Mytilus edulis: one gene and its partner. Each later gene encodes a partner of the first gene's protein in a complex. Links are inferred from orthologs where the notes say so. Each region holds a gene or a part of one and is shown on either strand. Other genes may lie near its edges. The genes, in order: B-cell receptor-associated protein 31-like and mitochondrial fission 1 protein-like.

Region 1 (11,012 bases):
CTCAATTAGTTGGTTTATTTATGTATTACAGTTTCTGTTTATGCAATATGAATGTTAGGATGATATGTAGTACAAACCTTTTCTGGTTTTGGTGGCTCTTCTGGGATTTCCTGTTGCAGGAGATCCTGCAAGGCTGATTGTCCCTCTCCCCATTGTTTGTTGTAGGTGCTAAGAAAGAAAAAGAAAAAATACACAGTCTACATAACATTGCTTGTACATATATATATATATATATATATATATATATATATATATATATATAAGTGTAATTACCTGTCAACCAACAGTTCAGATCTCAGTATGTCTAAGCTGACATAGAATCTTATTTCAGTGCTTTAAGGTATAAATTTAATTAGAATTCTATGAACCCTTTACAGGTTACACAGTCAGACCTGTTATATTAAATAGACATGTTTTGACAGTTATTCATCATGTTCATAGTGACATTTATAAAATCTTAATTCCTGGAACAATTTAATATACAGTGAAACCTGTCCAAACCGAACACCCTCAGGACTTTGCGTTTTGTTCGGTTTTCACAGGTGTTCAGATTATAGAGGTAAACGGAAGTCGACACCAAAATAATTTTGGCATTTACTAACCAGGGATAATAGGTGACACAATAGACAACAGTTTATTCTTGTGTTGATTTAGATGTAAATGTAAAAATAAAAGAAGATGAAGATAGACGTTTTGCTACATTTTTGTTTTTGATCGATGGGGTAGCTGACCAGTTTAACGTATCTTTACAAAAAAATCACTTTATACATGAACACAGACATGCTAATTAGTTTGTAATAACAACTCACAAGTTCATTAAACCTCAAATACCTTCGGGGATACTCTGCCATTCCGTGTTTGTTTAATTAAATCATGCAAATAATTAATAATGTTTATTGTTTTTATTGGTATTGATCGATTTTGACAGGTAATTTTTAGATACAAATTTACTAACGAGCCTTCAAAAAGCGTTCGGAATTCGGTGTTGACAGGGTTCGTTTTTTTCAGGTTAAATTAACGTTAATTGATAGGGAAATTTTGTGGGACTTTGAACATTGTTCGGTTTCAACTGAAATTCGGTTTTATCGGGGTTCGGTTTACCCAGGTTTCACTGTACTTAATATATATCAGAATAATCAAGTCTTGTGCCAACATGGCCAATCTTTCAATACAATAAAAAAAATTCATCTGCTAATGGCGCAGTAATGGTACAAATAAAAATGTTTATGATTGATCACATGTAACGTTGTTAATCCTCAGTAAAGTTAAGGTCTGCAGTCCTGGAACAATACATCTAAATACTGCTATTCCCACTTGACCCGGGAATCTGTCCCACTTTAATTTTCAACGTCATACAACAATCCCTTTTCCATTGTAGCTTCAAAATTTTTCTATTATGACAACTTTTGAGACGTCTAGTAATGGTGGACAAATAGGAATCCGGGTCCGTTCGCACCCAATCACATTCGCACCAATTCACATGCGCCCCCTTTCACTTTCGCACCCCACATGTTTGCACCCAGTCTGTTCACGCCCAATTTTACTGAGTTTTGGAAGGTGTATTGATATAAATATATATGTCATTGCTTCTTAATAATTTGAGATTCTGACAAGTTTTTTTTTGTATCATGGTAAGTTTATTGCTACATGTATGAAAAAAAAAAATCATTGTTTTAATTAAAGTGTGATTCTGTGATTCTGGCAACAAGTATTTCAATTTTGTGTTGAATAATTCTTAATGTTTCTAAATAAAGTGAGATTATGACAACGTTCTGTATGTGTTTATAAAATCTTAATCATGTTTTGGATAGTGTATGGCTTGAAATATTTTGTTTATGAATAAAGTGAGATTCTGACATCGTTTTTTTTTTGTGTGGTTGTTGAATACATCTTAAATCAATTGCAATCCAGGGCATTTATTTATTGCGTTAGTTTCATATATTTTATTCGTCCTTATATCATATATTTCATATATTTTATTTGTCCTTATATCATACATTCTTACAATTATTCAAAACAAACATCATAAATATCAACAGTAAAGAACTTAAGTTTAAGGGGGCTAGCGGGTCTAAATCAATTTTTTTATTTAATATAGGATTTCGCTATATTTTGGGGTCACATTCATTTACGCTCACAATGCCTTCGAAAGAAACATACATTTTTGTAAATGTCCTTTTTTTCTGTTGAACTAATAGGAGAAATAGCGGTAATATCGAAATAAAAAAAGAACTAAATTACAGAAATGCCTTAAATTTTACAATTATTTAGTTTATGTACAGCTTATTCGAAAACAACAATAAAAAATATAGGTCACCGATGAGTTAAAAAAGATATTTCATTTTTAATGCCAAAAAATGGCATTTTTGCACCAAAAAGGAGATAATTTGGAGCTTTTTCAATGATAACTACATTTTAAAAGTCGCCTTGGGCCAACAGGAATTGATTTTTTGGAATAATTTTTGAACCATATGATAAAGTAACAACTACTTAAGATATTTAATAAAATTTGTAAAGAAAATTAAATGTTTCATTTTTTTCTGAAAATCTTATAAATACATTTGTACCCGCGACCCTCCTTAGGCTCATCCTATCATGCACCATTCTAAAGAAAAAATACAGCACTTAAATATTCAGAGGTCTCACTAAATTAATTAGCGACAAGAAGAATAAATTTAGCGAAAATGTGAGATGCGAAAGTGTATTGGGTGCAAACGGACCTGATACCGACAAAAAGCGATAAGGTGTATTTGACAAAAGTCACGTGTAAAGAAAAAATCTCTGTGTAGTAATATTGGTAATGGACATGTTTCTATTTTTAACAAATGACTGAACTTAATTATTTGTGGTGATAAGGAAAGTAGAGGAACATAGAAATAAATGTGTAAAAACTATGGAGCTATTGAATGTGTTCAAAGTATTAAATTTTCAAAGAACTTATTGTGTTAAAAAGGGGATATTTTACCACAAGGAGCCGCATCACAAAAGGATGTTCGGGGTTTGCTAATTTACGGAAAAAGTACATGTAATCTCACTTCGTACCCCGAAAAATTTAACCACATATGTGAAAATGTCACAGCTTCGTAACGAGCTATCATACATATCCAAGTTTACAATATGGACTGAGCTACAGGAAAAAACGTTACCATTACCGCCTATGTAAAAACAATTAAAGATATTGAGCCAAGTGACGAATGTCATATGTAAACAAATGATCCTCATAGAAACGAAGATGGCGGAATTACAATAGAAAACATTCTGGAAAATGTGAAGGTCAGGATTATTACAGTGTGATCACTTAAAAGGTAGGTCAGTAGTCATGGTAGTGGTTTTTCTTTTTGTGATTTATGAATGGAATGTGAAAAACTATATCTCGAGTGAACCCATTTGATAGTTTAGATTATTTTTACCGATAACCACTACGAATTTCAGCTGACGGCGACTATAAAAACGTTGACATTAAATATCACCCACGTCAGAAGATGTGTTACTTCCAAAATTAAAAATTATAGGAGTACAAGAAACAAGCAATTTGCATGGCTTTCAAGAGTTCTTTTACTTGAGAGGTCCCAACATTTTATCAACAAACAGACAAATGTTTTTATGATCAACTTGAAAAATTAATTAAGTGCAATCAAAACCCTTGCCAATGGTAAAACATGCGATGCTTTGGTATTTCAAAGCAATTACTGACTTGTAAAATTCAAATATTCATAGAATTAAGAATTAAGTGGATAAACAAACCTGTGAGACATCCTCAAACTAACAGAAAATAATGCAGATTACAAATTTTACGCCATGATGTTTGTGTTTCTATAACAACGTTTAAATCTCGCTTACAAATCCTTGCCGAGATTATGAATTGTCATCGATCTTAGTCAAATTATCGTTTTTAGCAACTGATATTAACGATAGCTTACAAGACATTTAATGACTAAGAAGGTCACTTTCGAGAATATTGCAACTTTTTTTATCTTCATAATTTAAGATATAGTAAAGGTTTGTGTTTAGAGTCATCGTGAAATAAACCTAGAAACACAAAAAGTACATAGGGAAACTGAAAAATCAACAGGTCGGTACACATTAGAAAAAGTCAATAAGCCAATATGAAACAGGAAGGCAAAACCTCTTTTCGACATTCATTCAAAATTTAATCTATTTTTCTCCTTCACGAAATGGTCTTACTTTTGAATGTAGATTCTCCAATCTGAAACTTGGTTTGCCACCATTCACGTAGACCCCTTTCATTAAAAAAAATTTATAACAGCATTCATCATGTTCATATACATATATGAGGGTGGTAAAGGGGGGTAGCTTGCACGAGAAAAACGTGAAATAATTTCTGTAATGAACGTTGCACGAAAAATAAATACTTTTATGTGAACCTTTTATGACTGAATCACTGTCTTCTTGTATATATTAACTCTTTGTTTTACTTGATTTTCCCAATTTAGTATACACATTAATGTTATAATTGGTTTACGGCGTTTAAAAAAGTATTTCTTGAAGATCCCTGCCAAGTGTTTGAATTTTATTTGAAAAATACCGAGCACGCAAAATAAGACTTTGAAAATCACGATGCACGTAAAATTAAATAAGCAGAACACGTTGAACGAGGCACCCGTCTTGCACGACTGAACGTCAAATAAAAAAGTAAAAACACGTTGAACGTGAAATAAAAAACGGCGATCACGTTGCACGAAAATAACCCTTTACCACCCTCATATATTCTTGTTAATAAAATTGCTTGTTTAAGGGCATATGATAAAATACACCTTATCGCTATTTGTCTGTCATTACTGAAAATCACACAGGTTGCCGTAAAATTTTGACGTCATAAAACAAAATATCTGATGCCACAATGGAAAAGTGATTGTTGTATGCTTCAAAAGTTCAAGCGGCCGGGTCAGCCAGGATTAGTGATAAGGTGTATAACAGGGAGGTTAAATGTGAAATGTTATTTTTGCGACATCAGACTGACATATCATAGAAAAGATGCATTTTTTGACTGATTTTCATCATTCAAACTGATTTAATTTGAAAACGAGTTCATGGACACCTCTTTTGTTAAAAGACATTTGGTTTCCTTACAAATGAAGATTATTTTTACCAATTTCAAGAGAGTGTCAATATTGCAAATTTTTTAAATTTGATAAATATACAGCAAAAACTGAGTTTTTTTCTACATTCATGAATATTTGATAAATATGTCATTTTGTATGTGTTATTTGTATAATATAAATGCATTAATATAAAGAACATTTATATAAAACAGAACTTACAGATAATTTAACAAAAAACAGCTTGTGTTTATCTTTTAAAATAAAAAAAGTTATGGATTTCTTTCAACATGTTCAAAAGGAAAAATACGTCCACAAATCTGAATTTTGTGCTAATATCTGAAATTTCAACCTCATTTTACTCAAAAAGTAGCACATGAAGGTATATATATTTTATTACATATTTGATTTAATCAGGTTAAAAATAGCCTATATGCAATTTTTCATCAAAATTTCAAAATGGGATCAAAACTGAATCATATGCCCTTTATAATCAGATTGGTTACACTTTTTGATAATTTTAATATTATAAACTATCATGACTATGTCTGCATACATGACACAATTGCACAGTCTGTTCCAAACTGTATTAAAGTTTGACTGACCGAAAAAGAAATTTGACCTTTTCTTCTATATTTTCAACTAGAAAAAACTAAAAATTTCTATGTGAATAAATGAAATTTTGTCAGACAATAAGTTGGTCAGACAGAGTTACGGATACACTGATCATGCTGATTACAGTAAACATACAGGGGCCTTGGTGACCGAGTGGTCTAAGTTGTTACTACTGTAATCACTAGCCATTCGACACTGAGGTTGTGAGCTTGAACCCTGCTCTTTCGGGTGCCCTGGACTCCAATCTTAATTGAGTAGGATTGTCAGTTTTCCTATTGCAGGTCAATGGTTTTCTCTAGGCACTCTGGCTTCCTCCACTAATGAAAAATGGCTGCCACGAAGTAGCCTAAATGTGGTGCTCAAAAGTGGCGTTAAAACACCAAAAATCAAATCTGTAAACACATGTTAGAAAGGGAAAAAACTTCCGCTAAACAATTATACAACATATATAATTAAAAATAACGACATTTATTGTTTATGTTCATGATGTTTCAGATGTTCAGCTAATAAAATCAGTTATATATATGTATATATGTATATATACAATTGTAAAAAAGAAATAGTTTTATTACAGCCATGGTTGGAATACTGTGGTCAGGTATAGCTGGGTATCTATATGTTGAAATAACAATAGCTGTTATACTTATGTTACCATTTGTATCAGCACAAAGGTAAGAGTGTCAGATGTGTATTCCGTAGCTTTCACATGCAAAAAGTTCAGTTTGCATGCAAAATGCTATTCTCAAGAAAATTCACTTTTGAATGGTATTTGCTTAACTTTTCCATACAGTCATATATAAAACCATTTTGTAATTTTTTCATGATATGAATATCTCAAACTAAGCTTTATTAAAAAGAAAAAGAATTGTGCATAGTTATTTGTCAATCTAGCCATGCTAGCTAAAATGAGCTATAGGCTGTCAAATACCAAAATTAAAAAAAGGCAACTTGTTAAGTTGTTTAAAAAACATTTGTTGATTTTCTAGTTGTTTTCTATGTACAGAAATTTTGAGATCAGAACAATAAACATGTCATGAAAATTTGACATCATTATAATCATCTTTTAGATTTGATAGAGTGCATTTATTTATAATTTATGAGTTGGAAATTAATATTGTACTACAATTTTTTTCATTATAGAATAGCTTTAAAAAGAAAATAATTGAGCTTTTTTAAAATATTGTATTTGAACTCAAAACTGTTTTTCTAGTATTATAGTAATTAATAAATATGCAGCAATTATATGACATGTACATGTATGAACATGAAAAATATTTTCTAGTAATTATAGTAATTAATATAAATGTGCAGCTATTATATAATTTGGCTTATTATCTGAAATTTAAACACAAATCATGTCCTATGCATTTTTTTAGTAGCACTCTTGTGAAAGAATTTGGTACAAATAATTTCTAACAATGAATGAAATGGATTATTATTGTCCTGCATTATGACCTTTAGTTTTCTTCCTGTACAGATTTAACAATGACTGGTATAATATGGACTTCCATTTCGGGGTTTATGTATCTTGAAATATTTGTATCGGTAATTTTATTGATACCATATATTTCTCCATCTAGGTAAGCACTGATCTTTACAGCATTCATTAGTGGCAGCTACTGTACATATTGACTTCTACAAAACCCATGTGGCCTTTTAATCTGGTAAAAATTAATCTGTTGCTGTGTTGAAGAACCATTGGCTGTTTGTTTTTTTACTCTTTGGTTTGGTTGTTGTCCTCTTTGACATATTCCCCATTTCCATTCTTGATTTTATTAAAAATCAATTTAAAATTATTAAAAAATATACTGTAGAAACTCATTGAAAACCACATTAGTTTTAAAGGAGTCAATGATGCTTTAAGCAAAATTAGATAACTAACATTGCATCATGTTCATGAATTATCATTTACACAGACATTAATCTAATTAAAGGTGTATATATCTATATAAAACAACTGTCATCATATATTGGTTCATGTATCCACAATTCTGATTTGAGTAAGAAAGTGCAAATCAAACAATGTCAAATGTATAAAACAGGATACTGATTGTACACCTTTAATCTCATGCATTTGGATTTTCAAGGCCATAATGAAATTAAAGTACTTCAAGATTTTCATCCAAAATCCTCTCAAAATATTTGTATATATTCCTTTTTTTTCTTCTTTTTTTTTTTTTTATCAATTTCCATTTCAACATGGAACCAATTCATTACCATAATTAATGAATTAACATGACTTAAACAGTAAAATTGAAATGCCATCTCTTTTCAATTTAAAAAAAAGATATGGATGAAAACCTGGACATATTATTTTCATTGTGGCCTAAGTGATTTTGATACTGTAAATTCAGAAATTATTGTGATGTTCTTATTATTGTGAAAAATGAGTCTGAGTTATAATCGCAATAATTCAAACTCACATTTTAAAATTCTTTGTATGAATTAAACAGGATTTTCTCAATCACAAAAATTAAACAAATTGCAATAATTTCTGAATTTACAGTTCTTACAAACCTATTAAGCATGGGGAGAAAGTTATTTCCTCTGCATTTTGGAACCTGCATATTAAAAGCATTATATTTTGTATGGTATCATGGGCAATAATATTCCATTGTAGTAATATAAAGTATAGAAAGTTAGTGTAATACAGGTTTATGTAAAATTTGACATTTATGAAGAAATTGTTTCATGCAACTTTTTTGAAAATTGTGTAATAATCACATTAGATAATGTGAACAAATCATGGCCCCAAAACGACTTCTAATGCATTCAATATTTAGAGGTTTTTTAGAATGTCTGTGAAATTTGCACTAATTTTATTTTTTATTTTCTAAAAGAAAAGATGTATTACTTGATAAAAAATACTTTTCAATATTTAGTTTGGGAGTAATCTTTAAATTTAAGGGAGTATCATGTCAAATTATTTAAGCATGACTTGACAGATGGCCTATTGTTATAAAAATTAGAAAATATACAAATATCAGAATGTTTTTGCAATTCCATATCAATAAATATCTTTCTAAACTCTTTTGGCGAGTGGGATATCAATGCATCTAGGTTTTCTTGTTTTAAAATTCCGTTTATTTTTACATAGATACATAGATGACCTGATTTTCTTTACTCAATATTACACATAAATAATATCCAATTATATAGGATATTTAGTACTTTGACCACATGCTGGTGTAGAATATCTAGTACCCTGATCACATGATGGTCTATTTCAGGCAAACCACATCCTAAAATGCTTTGGACTTTCATAGCTTTATTCCTGTATCTGGAGATCTTCCTCTCAGCTATCCTTTTAATCCCTTTTATCCCACCATCCAGGTAGGTTGGGATATATATTCACGATATTTGCCATGTACATATATACAATGTAAACTAAGTTGTCAACAAATTTTCTCAAAATTGTTCAATTTTAATTACTGTGGATACATTATCATGATTATTTATTTCTTAAATTATTAGTTGGATACCAATGTTCTTGGATGTTGTGGGTACAGGGGAACTACAAATTTTAATGTTCAACAAACTACAAAATTTCCATAGACCTGTATGCAGACTTTAAGAAAAACACAAAATTTAACATCAAAGTGTTAGTTTTTCTCAATCCACGAAAATTGATACCCACGAAATAAATGAATCCACAGTAGTATTTTATGTATATGGGGATTTTAGCATTCAATCTATACAATGTGGACAGTAATGAAATAAAAGAATATGTTGAGAAACATATTATTAAGAGCCCTCTTAAAATAAACAGCTTAATGTGAAGTATTTCCTGATGCACAGTTTTTGCCCATTTTGATGACAATGTTAGCTATAGCTAAGTTATGTATACATTCATGTGTACAGATGTATAGTGTTAAAAATCTCTCACTTAACTTATACTGTCACATTGTGTTTAGGCCCGGCCAAGCTATTCATATTATGGGGGGGGGGGGGGATATTTCTTACATAATTATTTGTTTAGAATAAAATGTATTCATTTGAGAAATTTGTTGATAACAATTATTGATACTGGAAATATATATACATGTATATAGTTTCAAAGGAAGTTTTTTCTTTTACATCCAATATCTTGAGTATACACATATATCATATGATATTCCATCTTTCGTCTTTTTCAGGTTATTTGTGTCAGAATTTTATTTTGAAATGCAAAACAACTATTAACCTGATTTAGTTTTCAATTCAACAAATGAAAAATTAGTTTAAATGTTAGTGTTTAGATCTTAAGATGTAACAAAATTTATGTTTAATATTATGAAAAAAGGCTTCTACAAATTCAATAACAGAATTTCACAGAATAGAGGCACATGGTTCTTTTGGCCTCTGTTATCATGGTTATAAATTATTCAATCTATCTGTGATGTAGAGAATAAAGTAAACAATTTTAAAACAGCTTTTGAAATAATATGGTTTGTATTAAGAACAACAGTATAACTTGGTAGATCTTCAGACTGTAGATTGCTTCGCCATTTAACATGAAATTAAGGTTGGCTAGCATGTTTTATACCTTTAGGGAATTTATCATATATCATTTATTAAAAATACATGTATTTATAAAGAAAGAGTTCTTCAAAAGCACAAATAAAATGTTCAGTTCACAGTAAGAAATTTAAATGGCAATACCTGTAATTGAAAAGGATCATTGCTATATAGTTAATAGATGCTTTTTCTGCATATGAATGAATTATTTGCCACTGATGAGTCAATTAATATAAAACATAGGAAGTACAAACTGTTTGAAATTGTGTCTGAAAAAAGACAATTTGTATGAATTTAAGATTAAAAGATAGTTTTAAACTTCATGCTAACAGTTGCTTTGTTTTGTAGATGGCAGAAGATTTTTCGTTCCAACTTAATAAAAAAGATAGAGTCTTATTCCCATATCTACTTCAATGTATTAATAGCAATACTGTCATTAGTATTTCTAGGTAGGTAACCTTTTGTACAAATGATCTGATGTGCATCCATGTTATTAGATGGATTGACCAAATATTTTCTATTTCAGGTGTACTAATTCCTTTGAGAATTGATCTTGTTCACTGAACAACAATCTTTTCCCCCCTAATTGAATGGATTATTGGTATGCCAGTGAATGTTCTGGTTGATTCTATCACCACTCACTGAGATATTTTTTTTAAAGCAAAGTTTTGAAAATTGAAATAAACTTCTCAATAATAACAAAAACACAAACTTTGTCAAGTTAAGAATGTGTAATGCTAAAACATATTGGCATTAAGATAATGAAATAAACAATAAAACACTTATTAAAAACTTATATTATTTTACCAGTGAAACTAATACGGTTGAATTCATTATGAT
Region 2 (11,012 bases), on another chromosome or scaffold:
TAGACTTTTTAGAACCCGAAAACACACGTTTAAAGTGTTTTCGTGAGAACAACAATTGGTGGACTATACCTGGTACAACTTGGACCATGCAGATTATCCGTATTACCATTCCGTTTCCGTTTGAATCTAGAACTGTGTTTTATTGAATGCTGTATAACTGTGTCCGTTTACATTTATATTCTATGGACCGTACTTTATAATTTGTGTTTACCGACTATTCCTGGATGTTTATACTGTGTGAACTTTTCCTATGGTTGGACCGTGTGATTATTTGACATTTTTGTGACATTTATTGACATTTTTTGTGCATTGATTTATATTTTTGTTAATTATTTTGAACACATCTATTTTAAATAAATCTTTTCCCAAATATTAATTTCTTTAATATTTGTCCTAAGGGGGGAGGATTGTAATAGATGTGCCTTGATATGCCTAGGTTAATTCCCCTTAATTTGGACAGATTAATTATTTAGTATTTAAATGTTTATTTTTAGTTAAATTTGATTTAAATATAGTAGGATAAAAGTAAAGAATGTTAATTTAACTGTTTTAGTATTTAACTTTTGATGTTTTTATAATGTTTTAAGAATATTCATTTATTTAACTTTTCTTCAGTACCTTTTATGTTAAAGTTAGCCTGTTTAATGAAAAGTTTAGGATATCATTTGATATTCAGTCGGAGTCGGCCTTGCACAGGCCTCCAAATACTCGCCGGAACTAATATTAGTACTAATCGAGTCTAGAGTTAGCCACCACTTCGGTGCAGTTCGCCAGAGTTAGTCACCCCTTTTTGGTGCAATTTTACTACTTTTAAACACAACGCAAAGCAATTTTACTTTATTTTACTTAAAAGACTAACTCTGGGAACACTCTAGTTTTCATTTTACATTTGAAATTACTTTATTTTTGAACTTCATTTAAGAAAGTTTTCTGACTCCTGTTTTATCCGACTTTGTTTAAATTCATGCAATTATTGTACATTTGTGAATAAAATATAGTTTTCATTTGATTAATTGTTTGTTGTTCAGCCATAATCTGATATCAGGTATCCCGATGGTCGAATAGGGGCGAAGTACTGGCCACTACACGTCCCGGGAGGTGTCGTCACCGACCCCCTCCGTTACACTAGAAACAATATCATTTTACCTGTTTTTGTTGCCCTTTAAAAAACCTGTGTTAACTGAATCATCAAGACTTTTAGTGGTACATATATATTGTATTTTATTTCTTTCACACATGCAAATGATATATATATTATCTTCAAATGGAGTTCTGTGGACAGATTTATTTTCTTGGATTGAGAAAATCTTGCATTTTATTTGTTATTTGGTTTTGTTAATTCGTCAGTTTCTGTATACATTAATGACATTCCTACTATAGAATAAACGGAATTTGTTGAACATTTAAATTCAAGGTTCCCTTCTACTCACGAAATCCATGAACACTAACATTTACAGATAAATAGATATCCCCAAAAATCAAACCATTTCAGAATAAAAACAACTGAAATTACTAATTATTAACACTTATAAAAAACATCACATGGTTCTTAAAAAATAAAACTGTATAAAAGTTCTTACAAAAGTGAAGTGTTATCAAAGGGACATAACCAGTAAATTACTGATCTGAACCACTTTGTTAGAATGTTATAATAACAAATCAAAGTGTTGCCTTATCATTGTGTAAGCAAGAAGATATATTTATCACTTATACTCCTAAGAATGACCACTCAAATGCAAATTATTTTTCTTACATGAAATAATATGTATCAAAAAGTTGGGCTCAATTTTTTGGCTTAATTAAGAAATCAAATATATAGCAATTACTTTAATAGTCTTCATTGAAAAAGAGTAGGGGCAATAAGGCCCTTATTTGGCCCAAAAATTACTGAAAATTTTAAAGTAATCATACATATTGTTAAATTACTGAAAATTTATCTAAGGTATAAGGTACAAACAAAAACACAAAAAAAAATGACATCAACAAGTTACCATGGCAACAAATCATAACCTAATTTGCATATTTTGTTAAATTTCGTGATTTTCCTTGTTTTTTCATCAAATTTTTAAGTATATTTTAGACTGAAAAAGTATGTGCGCACCCAAGAAACAACTTTATATTTGATGAGATAATGCCAATAGTTATAATAAAGCTTTTGTTAAATTATTTTGTTGTTTCTCGGCTGCGCAGGATGTCTCCACAACAGAAATAAAGTCAGAAAACTGCATAATTTCTGTATTTTTCATGGTTTTTGTAAAAACAGTTCATATTATGACTTAATTGTGAGGTCATCAGATACAAATCTTAATGTTTTTCATTTATATTTCTTGACCCTAAGCATTTTTAAACATTATGTGCCAATTTGAAATAGTTATCAAACATTTCATTTTCTTGGGCCAAAACTAGGCCTTATATTGCCCCTACTCCTTTGTTCTTTTTTAAAAATAAGTTAAATTCTGGATAGTTTTCTGGATGTAAAAAATTATATTAATACTTGGTTTCAAAATCAATCTATGAATTACCTGTACTCTGTAGCTTTACTTCAAAGTAAGCTTTATCTTGTGCTATAGGAGCATTTGACAATGCTGCACCTGTTCCACATATTCTTTTACCACTTTTCACAATCACAACATCATTACCTGAAATGTTAAACACATGTACATTTTTACATTTAAGCATAAAAAAATAATTATCAACTAAGCATAAATTTACTAAAATAACAGAAAATTATCAAAAGTATTAATGTAACTTTGAAGGGGTTTCATTGGGGGGTTCTGATCACGGATCCTGCTTACTGTTTTGTCATATTCCCGTATCCCGCTTACACTATATATGTAAGCAATTCTCATTTTTTTATCATTTCCAGGGTACCGCAAGACCTCATTTCCCGTTTTCACGCCACAATAATTTGACTTTCACATGTCACGCTTACAAAAAATCAGCAATTTCGCATCACGCTAATAGACCCCAATGAGACCCACTTTGAATTTTGTATTATAATAAATTTAAAAACAGCTTTCGTTTTCTGAATCAAATTTTTATAGGTAGTTTCTTTAAACACATAAAACAATTTTAAGGTGACAATTGACATGAATGTATCCTTCCTTAAGATTGTTTATAGCTTGTTAAACTAATATATTTCTATATTTTTTTTATATAATTAATTTACAAAAAGATCTTTAAGATACCTATATGGTGGTTCTTATTAGGATCAAAGTCTGTTGCAGGATTCACCCATTTTTCTAATGTGTGACAGAAACAGAAACAATGTTCGGCGTAAATGTAAAATAATATATATCACAAGTGCTAGTAGTAGTATTGCAAATTATGATAGGCATGATAAGTGAGACACATGATTCTGACAAAACAATAAGCAAGTTTAGGATCAGAACCCTGAAGTAGTGCCTGAAGTGAGCACTATATATCTTATCATTGTTGATAGAATTTCCTGTGATACAAACAAAACAAAAACTAAATTATTTTCAAAAAATTTAGTGATTTACCCATGTGATTTGTGTCAAGTTGTACTGTTGGAATTTCCTTCAAGGGTATATGTCCTGAATTGCCATTTAGCATTCTTAAACAGCAAAGACATCTTGTAAGTGACATTTTACTATATTACTAATTTTGAATCAAAATATTGTTTTGATGTGGAAATCCGGAAACTAGTCTGAAGGTAAAGTTATGTTTTTAAACTGTAAAGACAAATTTGTAATCTTTAACATAAATCGTTGCCTTATATGTCAATTTTAGAGACTTGGTAACATCATTTGTTCTTATCTTATTCTAAGAAAGACATTATTTTGGATGAAATGTGTATTTTCCATGACTGCTTTATATTCGTTCCATCTCGGAAAGTGGTCTAATTTTATGTTTCCACGTAAGCGCAATCTTGCTAATGTTTTAGGACAACTTATTGATATGAAATGTGGGAAAGCGTTTAATTGACATTGATTTCTAGAAATGGATCGGATTGTGAACGAAATTTGCGACGAAAATGACTTAAAGGTACGAATAAATGTCTAGTGTCTCTTCATACATTTGACCAAATCATGCAATATGGATAGAATATATGAAGGGAAAATAAACATACAAAAAACCTAAATTATAGTGTTGTCAAAGAAAGAAGGAGCCAGAGAGAAAAACACACAGTGGTCAGTGACCAGTCAGGGGACTTACTTAATGAGTGATTTAGAAGAGTGATTTTCTGAATCACTGATTCAAGTAACATTATGTTCATAAAGGTTGGAAGTTAGAGTTGTCTCTCTTTAATAATCACCTATTTAAGTAGCACAAATTAATCACTAGAAGAAGTGATTTAATCTTATTGTAGCTTCAAATATAGAATACTAATGATTCAGGGACTAATTATGTTTCTAAACTTATCAGAACCAACATCTGTGTTGTCTAGGATGACCAGGTGTTAAGAATTGCGCTAATATTAACGTACCTTTTTGCGGTACGGCAGCTATCTTTGTGACGTCGCGTTATTGTTATACTTTATGTTGTATTGAATAGAAACGTATAATGGCAGACGTAGTTCTATCTTTAACGCCTTAGATAACTTACGATAAAATACACAACGCAATATTCTACATTGGTGCCGTGACTTCAAACGGAGAGAATGGACATCAGCCGATTAAAATCCTTGAGAGCGGGGAACAAAGCAGCAGTAACAAAAGTTTTCAAAAAACTGGAGGAAGCCATCGGAGATTCACAAATAGACACGGAGGAAGTATCAACATTGCTCGAAGCAATTGAGAAGAAAAAGAAGACGTAAGCCTCAATAGATGAACAGATATTAAATGCAGTCGAATCAGAAGATATTACAAATGAAATTCTTGAAACAGATGAGTATTATTTAGATTTAGAGGGTAAAATTCGAAAATTTAAGAAGTTCTTAAAGCCCGTAACAAACGCAACATCTTCTATACTAGATTCAAACGCACCAGAGTTTGTTCTGTACACAAACCCCTTCACTCACACAAGTCAGCCATTATCTCAGTCAAGTTCGACCTCAAGTAATAACCATCGCCTACCAAAGCTATCTCTTCCCAATTTTAATGGAGACATTCTACAATGGCAATATTTCTGGGATTCATACGAGACCACGATTCATCACAATCACACATTAACTGACATTCAGAAATTTTCGTACTTGAACTCATTGCTTCAATTTGAAGCTGCAAACGTAATTTCAGGATTGACCATGACAAATCCAAACTACCACAAAGCAATTGAATTATTGAGAAACCGCTATGGGCAACCACATAAAATCATAAATGCATATATGAGAGCACTACTTGATATACCCGCACCACATGATACATTAGAAAGTTTGAGAACATTTCATGACAAATCAGAAGCTTACATACAGGGTCTAGAGTCTCTTGGACAATGTCAGGAAATGTACGGATCGCTATTGATACCAGTAATTCTCGGGAAGATACCGCATGAAGTATGAAAAAATATAACACGAGAAAACGGGAGCGACAGTTGGAATATTCAATCGCTTAGAAACGCGATAGGTAAAGAGATTTCTATTCAAGAGTCCGGATACGGAGATTATACGCAGACGTATTCAACCGCCACTCCTAGCGCAAATTTCATAACAGGCGTTAAACGAGTAACTACAGATAAAACCCGTCCGATAAACACAACAGACAAATCATTCAACTCGAATCGGAAGAAACAATGCACATATTGTGACGGAAACCACTGGCCTAACGAATGTAAAGATATCATAGATCACGATAAAAGAGTAGCCATTATAAAGGAAAGAGATTATGCTTTAATTGTTTAGGTAAGCATAAAATAGCCGATTGCAAATCCAAGAATATGTGTAAGTGTTGCCACCGGAAGCATCACTCTTCATTATGTAAACAGAACTCGTACTGAAATAAACATCATATTGAAACTGAACAATCGCAAAATAAAGTAGACACAGAAACTTCTATGTTGTATACCGCTAGCGAAGAAAGGTCCACTGTTTTACTGAAAACCGCATTCAGTCCAGTCGTTCACAAAAATACATGTACACTGTATAGATGTATTTACACATAGAATACTCTTTGACGAGGGAGCTCAGCGCTCATTTATAACGGAAGAACTAGCAGCTAAATTGGACATTAAAAAAGAAGGTTCTGAAACATTAAGTATAGCTACATTTGGAAGTACTACAAAAAAGGTGAGAAATCTTGACAAAACAACAATTAATCTTAACTCTACCGAAGGAGAATTAATCCCTATTAAAGTTTTAATTGTACCAACCATTGCTTCACCACTTCAAACTCACAACATAGGAATAACGCAGAAGTTTTCTTATTTACGTGGTCTACAATTAGCACACCCAGTCATGGATGGAGAGCAATTTGAAATATCCTTATTAATTGGAGGTGATTTCTACTGGGACATAGTTCAAGACAAAATAGTGCGTAGAAACGGTCCAACCGCAGTTAGCTCGAAAATTGGATATTTACTTTCCGGTCCTGTCCCTACACGAACCAGCAATGCATCTTTCTCAATGATGAATATACTAGTTTGTCACAAACAAGAAGAGTGCGATCTTGAACAATTTTGGAAGCTTGAATCGTTGGGAATTGACGTTAAAGAACAAAATGATCCAGACCTAGCTGAATCAATTGAAAATTACTTACAAACCTCTATTACGAAGAAAAATGATAAGTATATTGCGAAATTACCATGGAGAGAGAATGCGCCAGAACTACCGACAAATAAAGACATCGCAAAACGCAGAACGGAAAGCGTTATTCGTCGACTGAAGAAGGATCCGGAGATGTTCCAAAAGTATGGTGAGATAATTACAGACCAAGAACAAAGAGGATTCATTGAAAAGGTATGTGATGAAATTACATGCACAAACAAGGTTCATTACATTCCGCATCATCCCGTAAAAAAGGATTCAGTCACCACCCCGATACGCATAGTATATAACTGTAGCTGTAGAGCGAACGACAATAGCCCTTGTCTTAACGATTGCCTAGCAACATATCCACCAATTATGACTGATTTGACGGAGATATTAGTACGCTTTAGAATGTACAAATATGCAGTTACAGCAGATATTGAAAAAGCATTTTTGCATATTGAATTAGATGTTGATGACAGAGATGTCACAAGATTTTATTGGTTAGAAAATCACATGGACACAGAAAGCCGTTTGATTACTTACCGGTTTAAAGTTGTACTTTTCGGCGCCACCTGTTCGCCATTCATGTTAAGCGCCACACTAATGAAACATTTTAGAGACAATCCGTCAACTACATCAACTGAATTACAGAGAAACTTATACGTGGATAACGTTCTGACCAGTTTTACAGATGAACAATCACTTTTGAAATTCTACACGGAGTCAAGAAAATTATTGTCAGAAGCAGGATTCAACTTACGGTCTTGGAATTCTAATAGTACGGAATTACAGAACGTCGCAGGACTAGACAAGATCGGCGACAATGACGACATAGTCAAAATTTTAGGCATGAGATGGGATAGGGAATCCGATGATTTGAAATTTCAACAGATTGAATTTATGGAAAAGGACAAAATGATAACAAAACGTGAGGTTTTGCGCACATCGTCTAGAATTTTCAACCCCCTTGGATTAATCACGCCAATTACGGCGAAAGCTAAGCTGTTTATGCAGACTAATTATGGAAGGCAAAGTTGGATTGGGATGAATGTTTGTCCGACAAACTGAGAAGTAAATGGCAGGTAATAGCTTTAGATATCAAGGAGGCTACCAAAATAGTATTTCCACGAATGTTAACGGAAGGAGTATTTAACGAGAAAACGTCACTACATATTTTCACAGACGCCAGTCAGTTAGCATACGGAGCTTGTGCTTACTTAGTTACAGCAAATTCATCGATCCTTGTCATGGCTAAAAACAGAGTAGTACCCGTTAAACCGATTTCATTACCACGTTTAGAACTTATGGGCGCGCTTATCGGCGCCAGATTAGCAACGCATCTTCTTAAAGTCATAACAACAGAACATGTGTATATGTGGAGCGATAGTCAGATTGTTTTGAGTTGGATTAAATCGTCAAAAATATTAAAACCGTTCGTAGAAAATCGACTTAAAGAAATACGAAAATTAACAGAGAATGCTGAATGGAATTATTGTCCAACAGATGACAATCCAGCTGATTACTTAACTCGCGGAATTTACGCTTAACAACTTTATAACAACAGCTTATGGATGAACGGTCCACAATGGATTTTAAATCGTAAAAATTGGCCGACATGGACAAGGAAAATTGAAGATTGCAGCACGATGGTAACTGTTAGTGATGAAAATACAGAAGATGAAAGTACAAATGCTTCAACACAGACAATTTCATGTATAGATATACAACGATACAGATCTTTAGAAAAAGCAATTAGAGTAACAGCATACGTCTTGCGCTTTATACAGAATTTACGGAACTCAAGAGAACGAACAATCGGATTTATCAGTGTTGAGGAGCGATGTAAAGCATTAGAAGTTCTAATAGTAACAGCACAACAGCAAACATTTAAGGATGAAATTGAAAGCTTGAATTCATCTTCACAGAAAAAAGTGCAACTTGTTCGACAACTTAAACTTTATACAGACAAAAGCGGATTACTACGTTGTACCGGGAGAATACAAAACGCACCTGTTAAGGAGAGTACTAAATATCCGTTGTTATTGCCAACACACCACAGTCTTATGTCCTTTATCGTAATGGATGCACACACAAAGACTTTTCATGCCGGACTTAACAGTACAATCGCATATATTCAACAGAAATATTGGATACCGAGAATAAGACAGTGCGTAAAATCACAAATTCGTAAATGCGTTCAATGCATTAAAATATCAGGAATGCCTTACAGCGCACCCGATCCGCCACCGCTTCCTAAAGATCGAGTCAACTACGATTATCCTTTTTCAGTAACCGGCGTTGATTTCACAGGAGCTTTGTATACAAAAGGAAAACACAACGAATTAAGCAAAACATATATTTGTTTATTCACTTGCGCCGCTACACGAGCTATACACTTGGAGATAGTCACAGATTTAACCGAGGAGTCTTTCATGCTTGCTTTTAAAAGATTTGTCGCTAGAAGATCTACACCAAGGATTATGTTGTCCGATAATGCAACAACCTTCAAGGCAGCCGCCGAAAAGATTACAAGATCAAGCAAAGACAACCGAATACAAGAAAAACTTGCCGATCAAGGAACTGAGTGGAAATTTATACCCAACCGAGCACTGTGGTTTGGAGGCTTTTGGGAAAGCCTAATTGGACTCACGAAAAAGTCAATTAAAGTAATACTAGGAAAGTCATGTGTCACTACGGAAATGTTGAATACAATTGTAATCGAAATCGAGGGAACTCTAAATAATCGTCCTATAAATCACATTTCTACTGATATTAAAGATCCCGAACCGCTGACGCCAGCGCACCTGTTATATGGTCGTCGACTTGACAACCAATCGGAACAGAATATTGACAGTGTTACTTCAGAAGACTTGCACGTGAAACTGAATAAAAATCTACAGAGAAATAATGAACTAATCAACCATTTTCGCTCAAGATGGAAACACGAATATCTGACGTCACTCTGAATTCCACCGTACATCTGGAAGAAACGAACAAACAATACAAATAGGTGACATTGTACAAGTACACAATGACACAAATCGAATAATGTGGAAATTAGCAGTTGTACAAGATTTAGTTCGTGGAAAGGATGGACTCATTCGATCAGCTGTTATCAAGACCGACACAGGAATTACCAACCGTCCGATTGTGAAGCTCTATCCGTTGGAAATACGCAGTACACATGATGACAGTGAATGAACTTTTCTGCCCTGGAGAACTTTCTGCCCTGGAGAAATTAGTGGATGTATAGACTGTTCAATTAACTACGGTTATTATATAGACTTGTGAAAGTGTTAAATTATTCAGACGTGAACAGTTAAAAAACTATTGAGAGACTTTAACTATGATTTTATTTCATTTTATGTCACAATTTACGAATTTTTCATATTGTATTTCAAATTTAAGTTAAATATCATTTTCTGCGGCCCCAGAATGTTAAGAATTGCGCTAATATTAACGTACCTTTTTGCGGTACGGCCGCTATCTTTGTGACGTCGCGTTATTGTTATACTTTATGTTGTATTGAATAGAAACGTATAATGGCAGACGTAGTTCTATCTTTAACGCCTTAGATAACTTACGATAAAATACACAACGCAATATTCTACACCAGGTCATGTCAGGTGATGAACTTGTAATGAATTTAGGACAAGGACATAAAAATCACTTGTTTAAGTATCATACCTCAATTTCCTTCCAAATAATCACTTCTTTAAGTATGTAAGTATCATTATTCTAATAACCCCCACTAATTTCAACACCCCCAAACAGTGAAATTTTTATCGCGAACAGTAGATTTTTATTACATAATCTGAAAGATGAAACCTTGAACTGTACAGGAAAAATCTGTTAAGAAAGTATCAGTTCCTTAAGTAAGGCCATTATTATAGCATTTTATCCACTAAAATAGAATTTGCAGCTAAATTATTGCACCAAAGGCATAAACCTTTCTACTTAAAAGAAACAAAAAGTTCATTTTTTTTCAATTTTACTAATGAAAAGATATTTATCTAAACCTATGTGTTTAAAATTTTAGTAAAACTACAAAATCACAATTTATGACAAAATTTCGAATTTGCTACTTAAATAAGTGATTTAAAAATCACTCATTTAAGTAAGTCCCCTGACTGGTGACAGTGTACAGAACTGTCACTGTCAGAGAGACAGCAGTTCACAAAAAATATACTGCATTATTACACATTTAAAACCTTTTAAGGTTCACAACCCTGACCAAAAATGGGACTATATACACATATGCTCTGATAGCATTTATTGGATAGTGAAAGAGTTAAAAAAAAAAAGAAAAAAAAGAAGAAGAAAAGCAAGGCTAAATCTTTCAGTGACAGTGTGTAGTTAAACA

The links.
Region 2: the proteins of B-cell receptor-associated protein 31-like (region 1) and mitochondrial fission 1 protein-like are in contact, whole or in part, in a crystal structure (PDB 8XWX), measured with the Homo sapiens proteins. The link is inferred for Mytilus edulis from reciprocal best matches to the Homo sapiens genes BCAP31 and FIS1. Residues at the interface, in NP_001132913.1 of Homo sapiens: Asp224, Leu227, Glu228, Ala231, Lys232, Ala235; in NP_057152.2 of Homo sapiens: Arg52, Val56, Glu59, Glu60, Pro63, Lys64, Lys89.

What each region holds. Positions count from the first base shown.
Region 1 is NC_092344.1:77,905,386-77,916,397, forward strand, and holds the start of B-cell receptor-associated protein 31-like, read left to right. Parts: upstream 1-3,845; 5' UTR 3,846-4,072; intron 4,073-6,249; exon of another isoform or gene 6,250-6,251; coding exon of another isoform or gene 6,252-6,346; intron 6,347-7,152; 5' UTR 7,153-7,160; coding exon 7,161-7,255; intron 7,256-8,905; exon of another isoform or gene 8,906-8,922; coding exon of another isoform or gene 8,923-9,008; intron 9,009-10,520; coding exon 10,521-10,621; intron 10,622-11,012. Other genes in the region: dynein regulatory complex protein 11-like, read right to left, coding at 78-168, 3,745-3,755. UniProt on the Homo sapiens protein: Functions as a chaperone protein. Is one of the most abundant endoplasmic reticulum (ER) proteins.
Region 2 is NC_092346.1:45,786,400-45,797,411, reverse strand, and holds the start of mitochondrial fission 1 protein-like, read left to right. Parts: upstream 1-3,890; 5' UTR 3,891-3,963; coding exon 3,964-4,008; intron 4,009-11,012. Other genes in the region: SPRY domain-containing protein 7-like, read right to left, coding at 2,523-2,639, 3,504-3,609. UniProt on the Homo sapiens protein: Involved in the fragmentation of the mitochondrial network and its perinuclear clustering. Plays a minor role in the recruitment and association of the fission mediator dynamin-related protein 1 (DNM1L) to the mitochondrial surface and mitochondrial fission.